3 linked regions of the Cricetulus griseus genome follow. The main gene of each other region encodes a partner of the protein of the gene in region 2 in a complex. Links are inferred from orthologs where the notes say so. Each region holds a gene or a part of one and is shown on either strand. Other genes may lie near its edges. The genes, in order: Naa50, Hypk and Naa10.

Region 1 (3,654 bases), on a different chromosome or scaffold from region 2:
TTTCTTGACTCACAGGCATATGGACTAGCCCCAGTTTCTACCTCTTTCACATCTTCCCCTTATGTAAGTGGATGGAATTATTTAATGCAACTTTGATACAGGACAATTGACCCTTTACATACAATTAAAATTTAGGTTAAATCACCGACTAGTGTGAAAAAGGAAATAATAATAGGGAGCCTACACACTCAATTCAAACTTTATTATTTGTTCCTCCTCTTTAAATAACATGTACTTAATTGTTGTGAGGCAGCTATTCGGTTTCAATAAACACATTTAGGGATACATTCATAGGACTACTCAAATAGTCCAAGTGAAATGGTTATAGAAATAGAGGCAGTGTCATCTCAGAAAACTTTTTATATATCAAAATCTATTTGCTATCTGGAAGTTTACAAAATGGCTGACTTCTTCAAACTAATTCCACTCTATCATTTATGCCTTCTTCTCTTGGCAAGAGTAAGCTGAAGCTTATCCATGGAAATAAAGGTGCTTAACACTAAACTTTTCTTTTGAGCTTAGATTTGGACTGTCTAGAAAACTGATACCCAAGAAACAAGCATGGTATTTCTACAATTTCACTACCCTATTCATCCATCCATCCGTCCGTCCATCCATCAATCACACCCCTTGTCTGTATTTTCTTGGCACTCAAGACTACTGAAGTCCACTTAATGTACTTTCACATTCTCAAAACAAAACAAAACAAGCAAAAAACTTAAGAGTTATAAAGTGTGCATAAGCATTTTTTTAACCTATTTGGAAATAAGACTTTCATACCACAATTTTCCAAAGAAGATATATTAAACTTCCTTTTAAAGTCAAATGAGAGAAAACATACTATGTTCTGTTTTAAAGTCTAGTAAGAACATTTCTCGAGCCACTGATGACTACTGACAATCTAAGAAATGCCATGTATTTTGAGATGAGGCTATGTGAGGAAAATATGAGTATCTCACATGTCTCCACATTATAGTTCTCAACCCATCAGAGCCACTACCAATGTGCCTGTAAATGATCTGGCCTTAACCAAACCTGTCAACTGGAGGTCACAGTGATATTTGTATTAACACTTCATACTTCTATTGTTCCAAGAATAGAAGGAATTTGTCAATTCCTCTTATTCCAACTCTTTAAACTCAACATTGTAGGCACAGAGTGTAAGCAAATCTGGGATGTTCTCCAACAGATAAGCAATAGCATAACAATGTTATTTTCAAAAATACTGTCTAGAAATTCTTTCATATATTATCAAACACTCAATGACCACAGTTCTAACAATCTGTATTAGTTGACATTAGGTAACACTTAATGTGTTACAAGTCCATCTAAGCTTTATATGTAATTTTATATGTCCAAGAGAAAACACTTGCTTCGGGTTTATTTAGGGGTATTGGCTTATAAGGATATAACTCCATTTAAGGTTACACTATTATTGGGCTTACTGAAAAACAAGAGAAAAAAATCAATTGTAACAATCTTCTTTAGGTCAGTTAAAGGCCGTATCTCTAGCTGGGATATTAAAACAGTTAATTTCACCAGCTCATACTCTACAAGTTAATGCCTCTAGCAACAAGATTAACAGCAGGAAGAAAAAAAAAAAAAAAACCCCAAACCAAAACAAACACCAAAAACAAAACAAAAAAACACCTGCCAACAAGCAACCCACTCATCAGCTAAATAGCAGTTTAACTGAAATACTTTGATCAAAGTCTAATACTAACTACACAAACAGCCCCAGCAATCAGCAAATAGAGAAAAACTGCTTTAAAACCCTAAATCAGCTTAGTATTTTCTCACAAGGATAACAATGGTCCAACTCCTGAGAGTACTCAAAGGACTAAAGGTAGAGTGAAGGCAATGTCAGGGATTAACATCCCACAGATAGTCTTTAAAACTCAAAGTACCACAAATACACTAAGCTTGTCTATGAATTAGAGAATAAGATATTGCTGTGGCTTTTTTTGAAATAAACAATATTGTAGGCTCTGCCCTTCAATGTGAAAGCAGGATGTTAAAAAAAATTGAAATCATCTGATACCCAATTTGAGAGGACATCTTAACTGTGAAACTATACAGACCTATTTTCTCTTTCCTTCAACCCAACCACCTCACAAAAATAAGAGAACTGAAACAATCCAAACATGATCATTTTTAAGAGTCCTTGAAAGTATTACAAACTTTAAGAGGAAAGAAAGGAGGAATATCAAGGGAGAAAAGCTGAAGAAAGGGGGAGGGGAATCAATGGGTCTTTCTTTTATTTGGCGACAAGCAAGTGCAAGAAAGTTCTTTTGTAATTTGTTCAGTTGTCTGTCTTTTGTGTCTCTGCATTCTGACCAGATGGGACTTTGAGGTTTTTCTGAAGCACATGAGCATCTGCAGGCTCTATCCTCTTATAGTAGTTCTTCTTCGTCTCAATAATCTCAAAGCCAAACTTCCTGTAGAAGTCAATCGCTGACTCATTGCTGATCTGGACATGCCTGAGACATAGATACATATATAAGACAGTTTCATCAACTTTCAACTCTTAACCACACATAGCTTCAAATTGGTCAGAGGTAGACTATTACATTTTGTACACTTTCTTTATAATGACCAATATTTAACAAAGGTTAGTCAATTCGTTATCAGTAAACCTGACAACAATTTTACAGTTTTAACCTAATTCCCCCACTTGCAAGGCAGAAGGCTGAGATTAGGAGGATCAGTGCCTATTTTTATATATAACAAAGGTTAAACTATCATGAGATGAGGCTCAGTCTACCAGAGGATCAGAGTTCTGTCTGACCCAACACTGCCACCAGGCAGCTCACAACCACCTGTAACTTCAGCTCGAGATTGCTGACGTCTCTAGCCTCCTTAGATACCTGTAACCTCGTGCACATGCCCCTCCCAGAAAAGATAGACACTAAAAACAACAGCAAAAATACATTTCAGTCTCAATTGCCTAAATATATCTTCTTGAGCTTCTTTCATTACGCTCCAGAATGACACTGCATAATTTAATCTCCCCCAATATGAATATGAAACAATCTGTTGTTGTGATTTTTATCTTAGCTCTTTATGTTTGTTAGTTGATTTTGAAACAGGGTCTCTCTCTGGCTGGCCTAAAACTCACAGTAATCCACCTGCCTCTGCCACCTGAGTGCAAGTGCTAGGATTAAAGACATGAGCCACCATGCCAAGCTGTCTTGGCTCTTCATACTGAAGCCTTCTGAGACTCAAGTATAATCTCAACTAGGTTATCTCTAACTTTGATTATTAAACTATTACAAATGAGCAAGTTACTGATAACCTTGAATAAAATATATCAACTATTACTGGTATTAATGATTTCAAACTTCTGAATACCTAGATTGCAATCTTGGTTTCATTTTAGGTACCTTATATATAACTAAAACCAAATATAACAAGAATACTCATCACCCACAATTTCCAACCACAATTCAATAAATCCTGAAATATAAAGTTGTCTAAAAACTTCTGTATCATTTTCTTTTTTCTAGGTATCCTAAGTAAATTACGTCACTTTAAAGAATGGGAGGATAGGAATAGGTCATCTGTAAATAGTACGCACTTTTATATGAATTTGTGACATCTTAAATAAATGCACTCAATTTTTTTTCTAAAAATTATTTTATGGGCATGGACATT
Region 2 (3,263 bases):
TTATGAGAAAAGGTAGGACAAGTCACAATGCATGGATAGGTCTCACTTGTAGATTGACACTTCTTTCCTGTTCTCAATCCAAATGTTACAGGTTTCTTTTCCTCACTTTGCAGCCCCTGCCAACTTACCCCTTATGCTTTGCCCCAGACCCCTTCTACCACTGTCCTAGATAGCAGGAGGCAGATTGCTGAGGTCCCCAAATGGAGAAGGATATAGAGCAGTAGGCTACTAGAAGACTCTGAGAGAGGGCCTCCTAGAGTGGTTGGGAGCTGGTCAAAGAAACAGGCCCACACACAGCAAGACACTGAGGATAGAGCAGACATAGGATGCAAAGGTGAAGCTTTGCAAGGGTGATGTATACTGTGTGGGGTTAATCGAAGGTAAAATCCCAAAATCCTCAATCCTACCATCTTGTGGTGAGCTACGTAGGATTGCCTTTTCTAAACACTAGCAAGATTTTCATTGTAAGACCTTAGTATAGGCTTGAACCACCTATTTTTCCCTAAGGCTATATGGATGGGAATGTGGGATGAGAGGTTTACTGACTACTGAGGCAAAGAACCGGGTTTGCCTCCCCAACTCTTTTCCAGCCAAGGGCATCTTCAAGTCTGCCCCCTCCAATGCCCTCTCACCTGATAAAAGGGGGTTTTCACTATGACATCGCCGATTCCACCGTGCTGCTGTGCAAGGCCCTGGCTGGTGGTCTGGGCTGTCACCGCTTTTGCTCCTATCATTTTTGGCCCAGAGGTTAGGCATAGATCCGTTACTGGAAGAGCTGATGAGGAACAGCAGCTTCTCAAGAATTTTGCCCATTGGGCAGTCGCTGTGCTGGGCTAGTCACTCAGTCTTAAAGTAGTAGAATGGGCATGTTAGAAAATGAATACAGATCATTAGGAAGTGGTAAATGCAAATACTTTTGTGAAGATTCCTTCACTGGGCTTCGTATTCCGGATCATTTGGACTGTCTTCTGAGATTAGGAGTAGTTGGCCTATCTGATCTGGGGATTAGTTTTTAAAATTGGTTTAGGATTTAGCCATCGGCCGCCTTGGTTGGTCAGAATTCCTTGGGGGGGGGTGTTGTGGGAGGGCGGGAAGGGGAAGGAGTGAAGGGATATGAAAGGATTGTTCTTCGGTGAAGAAGTGAGGCTGTGCATTTAGGTGGTGTGGGTAGTGAACAGATTAGTCGAAGGAGACTGCAGAAAACACAAGCCTGAGAGGAGGTCAAAAGCGAACCAACCGCCTTCCTAGCAGAAGCTTCTCAAGACAGGCACAAAGATGCGGTTCACAGCCTGCCCCGCCCCTATCTGGGCGGAAGCTGTTTGCCGGAAGTCGTGAAGCGGCAGCGTATGCGGCGGCGCGGTGAGATCGAAATGGCGACCGAGGGAGATGTGGAACTAGAGTTAGAGACCGAAACCAGCGGCCCAGAGCGGCCTCCCGAAAAGCCACGGAAGCATGACAGTGGTGCTGCTGACCTGGAGCGGGTCACTGACTATGCGGAGGAGAAGGAGATCCAGAGTTCGAATCTGGAGACGGTGAGGTTGACCGGGAGCTTGTATGAGAGGGCTTGAGAACGGGGTAGGGGTGATTTGAGACTGACCCGTTTGCTCCGGCAGATCGCGATAGTGGGAGTAGGCAGTAGGATGGGCATCAGCGACAACACTCACCCAGTCCGCGAGTTGCTTAAGAATGTGATGGAGATTGGGCTTAAATGGATCTCAGGTGCAGGGAATTAAGTGTGGTCTTTTGGTCCCGAGAACACTGGTCATTGTGAATACTTGAAGAATCACGTGGTTTTTATTTTATTTGGTTTTTCGAGACAGGGTTTCTCTGTGTAGCTTTGGAGCCTATCCTGGCCCTCGCTCTGGAGACCAGGTTGGTCTCGAACTTACAGATCCACCTGCCTCTGCCTCCCGAGTGCTGGGATTAAAGGCGTGCGCCACCAACGCCCGGCGTGGTTTTTATTTTTGGTTTTGTGTTTTAGATAGGAAAATTTGGGTCTCATGGTGGTAGGTAACTAGACTCGTGTTTCCTACAGGCTATGTCCGTCATTGGAGACAGACGGTCCAGGGAGCAAAAGGCAAAACAGGAGCGGTAAGTTTAAAGCACACTGTCAGCGTAAGGGGTCCTCATTCTCCAGAAAAAAAACAAGTTTTTAACCAATTCCTGTAGATCTAGGGTTTACAACTTTGTTGTAGTGACACTGTTTTTAGGGGAAGGAAAGCCTCCAGTGGGAGGGGTGGGCACATTTATTTAATATTTTCAGTCAACCTTATTCCACCTGTTTGCAGTGTGAAATTGGGATGTTACTTTTGGGAGTTTATGGCAGAGGTTGAGGATGAAGACAGATGCATATATACACATATATTCACAGGGAAAAGGAGCTGGCGAAGGTCACGATCAAGAAGGAAGATCTGGAGTTGATAGTGAGTAGTAATGCTTGGATGGATGCACAAGAGAAATTCTACTTAATTTGGGTTCCTAACAAGTGGAGTCAGGGATTAGTTGACACTTTTATGCCTGAGAGGAGGCATCGGTGACATGATTTACTCTTTCCTTGCAGATGACAGAGATGGAGATCTCTCGAGCAGCAGCAGAAAGGAGCTTGCGGGAACACATGGGCAACGTTGTGGAGGCTCTTATTGCCCTAACCAACTGATGATGTGCTTTTTCAGACATTCTGGACTGATTTACTGAAATAAAGTGTTTTATTATGCTGTTCTTTTTTTTTTTTTCAGTTTTATCTCAGATTAGATGCATTATATATTTTTGTTGTCATTTTCTATGTTGGACCTTCATGAAATTATGAACAGTCAATATAAAGAAGTACCTAACGTTTAAATACAGGCTCTATTATTATTATGCTTATTTTGTGTATGCGTCTGGGCATTTTCCTGACATTGTGCTTGATGTCAGATGACAACTGTACTTCCACCATGTGGGAATCGAACTCAAGTGCCCTTTTCCAAAAAGCTTTTCACCAGCCTTAAATAACATTCTAGGTGGTATGCTAGTCTCATTCATCTGACTAGCTCTTGGTAATATAGAGTACATTGGTATCCTCTGTAAAAGATCCAACTACATGTGCTTCTAGGATAGTTTGTGCATTTTATTTTTTTCAGATAGGTTCTTCCTGTGTAGCCCAGGGCGTTCTCAAACTCAGATGCCTTCACTTAATACTTGAGAGCTGCAATTTCAGTCACCTTTCCCAACTCTCTAGGCTAGCTCATGAATACCAAAGGACTAGCTCCTACTAGGGTTTTTTA
Region 3 (3,005 bases), on a different chromosome or scaffold from region 2:
CTTAGTGCTGGTCTAAGAGTAAAGAGAGATGATTAGGGCATGAGCAAGGGTTGAGAAGTGACTGGCACCAGGAAGCATTGGGTGAGAGGAGATGAAAGGGGATGGCAGAGAAAAAGGGCCATGAACAAAAGTAATGAGGGACCTATAGCTCTGGATGTCCTGATAATTGATGGCAGGTCTACTCAGGACACAGGCATCTCCATGAGACTAGGATTGGAGAAAGGAACTGGCAGTGCCTACTGCCACTTGAAAGTGGGGCTGGAGTGAACTGATTGGAGGACCCATTGAGTCACACTAGGCTTTGATGGGGTAGAGTGAAGATGGGACTATTGGGACAGGACAGTGGCCTTCAGGCTTTTCTGAGTTCACTACCTAGATTCATGGAGATCTTTGACCTAGTTAAGTATGCCTTTGGTGGGGACTGCTTCACATGCAAAGTGAGCAATTCCCAGCTAGGTGTGGTAGTACATGCCTCTTAATCTCCGCATTCAGAAGGCACAGGACTGTGGGTTAAGGGCCTGGCATAGGGAGTTCCAAGTCAGTCTCAGCCACACAGCAGACCCTGTCTCAAAAGGGGGGTCCTAAGGAGATAGCTTAATTGTAAGAACCTGAGTTTGATTCCTGGCACACATGTATAAAAGCCACATACAGTGCCCTGTACCTATTATCTTAGTGCTGAGGAGGTTAAGACAAGAGAATCCCTGGGTACACTAACCAGTCAGCCTAATTGAATGTTCAAGGTCCAGATTCAGTGAGAGACCCTATTTTGAAAAACATAAAGTGGCCAGGCGTTGGTTCCGCACGCCTTTAATTCCAGCACTCAGGAGGCAGAGGCAGGAGGATGTCTGTGAATTTGAGACCAGCCTGGTCTCCAGAGCGAGTGCCAGGACAGCCAGGGCTACACAGAAAAACCCTGTCTCAAAAAAAAAAAGTGGGAAGCAATTGAAGAAGATACCCAACATATATCTCTGGCCTACACATGTACACATGAGGATGTGTATACACACAGCAGTTCTCTTGTCTTTAATGTCTTAAGAATTAAGGGCTTCACTCAAAAGACACAAGTCCTTGCTATTCAGGCTAGGGACAGAGAGCAGTGGCAAGTTTAGGGATGGGAAGTATCCTGGATGCTACATTGCTGCTTGGCTTTACTGAAGAGAACAGAGAAAGCCATCATGGCTGTTGGAAAAGAGTCCATTCAATGAAAAATTTAAAAAAATCAATTCAGGCTGGCTTTTGCCTCCCCTCTGCAGAGGGAGATGACAACCACCCTAGTAGCCTAAGAACCAGGTGTGTCTCCATCCTACCCCCAGGATCAGTGAAGTGGAGCCCAAATACTATGCAGATGGCGAAGATGCGTATGCCATGAAGAGGGACCTTACACAGATGGCTGATGAGGTAAGAGTTCAGCCAGGCCAGGGCAGCAATTCCAGCAGTAGAGGGGATTCCAAACTTGGGAAAGGGGGCTACTTAAGAGCTGTGACTCCAGGGGCAGTGGTGGCTGGAGGGAAGACTAAGGTTGATTGTCAGCACTTGTAGCTATAGTGGTAGGAGTCAGAGTCCCCCTTTCCCTCACTTCCTAAGCCTACAAGTAGGGGCATGGCCTTGGTTGATCATAGAGGAGGCCATGAGATGTTCTTGGGGGAAGAAGCCTGCAGGTGGAATAGGAGAGACAGTAGGAAGAGTTTTCTTTCTATCTCGGGACTGGGATTACTAGGGCCAGGGGCAGTCATGGCCAGCCTGTTCAGATCTAGGACCAATCTGGGCTGGGAAGAAAGGGTTCCTGACCAAGCCTCCTGGGGCTAGGGCAATTCATGCTGTGTCTTGGGAGCTCCCCAGAAGCCCACTTGAGGGCAGCAGGACCCTTGACATTTTACAGATGAGGAAACAGGCTTGGGGCAGAGCTACCATTGAACTGCATCTCTACCCAGTCCTATTTCCTGCCTTGGCCCTACTGCCTCTCATTGTATCCTTCCCCACAGCCAGCCCCAGGGTCTGGCTCCTCTTGTCTCCTGTCTGGAGACTTAGGCCCTATCTCTTTCAACCCGCTTCCCTCTGGGCTCCCGTCGGCAGCTGAGGCGGCACCTGGAGCTGAAAGAAAAGGGCAGACACATGGTGCTGGCAGCCACGGAGAACAAGGCGGAGGGCAAAGGCAACATGCTTCTGAGCTCGGGAGAGGCCTGTCGTGAGAAGAGTCTGGCTGCTGAGGACAGTGCTGGGGACAGCAAGGACCTCAGCGAGGTCAGCGAGACCACAGAGAGCACAGATGTCAAAGACAGCTCAGAGGCCTCTGACTCTGCCTCCTAGAGCCTGCCCCACCTGGTTCAAGCCTCCCCCCATGTGCTTTTACAATAAATGTGGTCCTGTGGCCTTGGGGAATTTGTGAATGTGCCAGCTCCTTCATGGTGGGGATATCATCTTCACAAACCAGAGCCCACTTAGCTCACAAATCATTTGGCGAATCTGGCTACCTTCAGCAACTGAGTAGGGTTCAGCTTAGGTGCCCTATTCTGTCACCTTCCTGGCCTGCAGGCCCCATTGACTTCCTTACTAATTTTCCAGGGCTGAACTAAATGATTCCTTGGGGCTTTCTAGTCAGCCTCGGGTTTCAGAGGCATCTTTCCCACCTTGATGCTCTTGGCTGTGCTGCTTCGACCTCTTAGGTCCCACTCTTAGCCCTTACTTTTAGAGAGGCTGTATCTCCTTGCCACTACACCCAGTTTATACAGTGCTTGAGATCTAACTCAGGGCCTCTTGCCCATTAGACAAGCACTCTAGGAACGGAACCACACTCCTAGCCTTAACTGTTGGCCTCAAAGTCCTGATCCTTTAAGGGGTTCTTCAAATTCTGCCCTTCACCATTACCAGGCTAATCTCTTTTGTTTACTCAACTTCTTGAGACAAATTGTCCTTAGCCCAAACTGGCCTGGAACTCATACCCCAGCTGGCCTCAAACTTGTGGTAATCCTCCTGCCTCAGGCTACAACGTGCTGGGATTACAAGTG

The links.
Region 1: Hypk (region 2) and Naa50 share a complex: the UniProt entries of both Homo sapiens proteins name them as parts of the N-terminal acetyltransferase E (NatE)/HYPK complex. The link is inferred for Cricetulus griseus from reciprocal best matches to the Homo sapiens genes HYPK and NAA50.
Region 3: the proteins of Hypk (region 2) and Naa10 are in contact, whole or in part, in a crystal structure (PDB 6C95), measured with the Homo sapiens proteins. The link is inferred for Cricetulus griseus from reciprocal best matches to the Homo sapiens genes HYPK and NAA10. Residues at the interface, in NP_057484.4 of Homo sapiens: Lys27, His28, Ser30, Gly31, Asp34, Leu35, Arg37, Val38; in NP_003482.1 of Homo sapiens: Glu24, Tyr26, Lys29, Tyr30, Tyr33, Lys59, Glu134, Lys136, Tyr137.

The regions. Positions count from the first base shown.
Region 1 is NC_048597.1:46,254,660-46,258,313, forward strand, and holds part of Naa50 (N-alpha-acetyltransferase 50), read right to left. Parts: intron 2,481-3,654; coding exon 2,303-2,480; 3' UTR 1-2,302. UniProt on the Homo sapiens protein: N-alpha-acetyltransferase that acetylates the N-terminus of proteins that retain their initiating methionine. Has a broad substrate specificity: able to acetylate the initiator methionine of most peptides, except for those with a proline in second position.
Region 2 is NC_048599.1:56,958,948-56,962,210, reverse strand, and holds Hypk (huntingtin-interacting protein K), read left to right. Parts: upstream 1-1,324; 5' UTR 1,325-1,346; coding exon 1,347-1,532; intron 1,533-2,035; coding exon 2,036-2,091; intron 2,092-2,371; coding exon 2,372-2,423; coding exon of another isoform or gene 2,424-2,431; intron 2,432-2,560; coding exon 2,561-2,656; 3' UTR 2,657-2,722; downstream 2,723-3,263. UniProt on the Homo sapiens protein: Component of several N-terminal acetyltransferase complexes. Inhibits the N-terminal acetylation activity of the N-terminal acetyltransferase NAA10-NAA15 complex (also called the NatA complex).
Region 3 is NC_048604.1:1,832,228-1,835,232, forward strand, and holds the end of Naa10 (N-alpha-acetyltransferase 10), read left to right. Parts: intron 1-1,313; coding exon 1,314-1,398; intron 1,399-1,982; coding exon of another isoform or gene 1,983-2,073; coding exon 2,074-2,307; 3' UTR 2,308-2,383; downstream 2,384-3,005. UniProt on the Homo sapiens protein: Catalytic subunit of N-terminal acetyltransferase complexes which display alpha (N-terminal) acetyltransferase activity. Acetylates amino termini that are devoid of initiator methionine.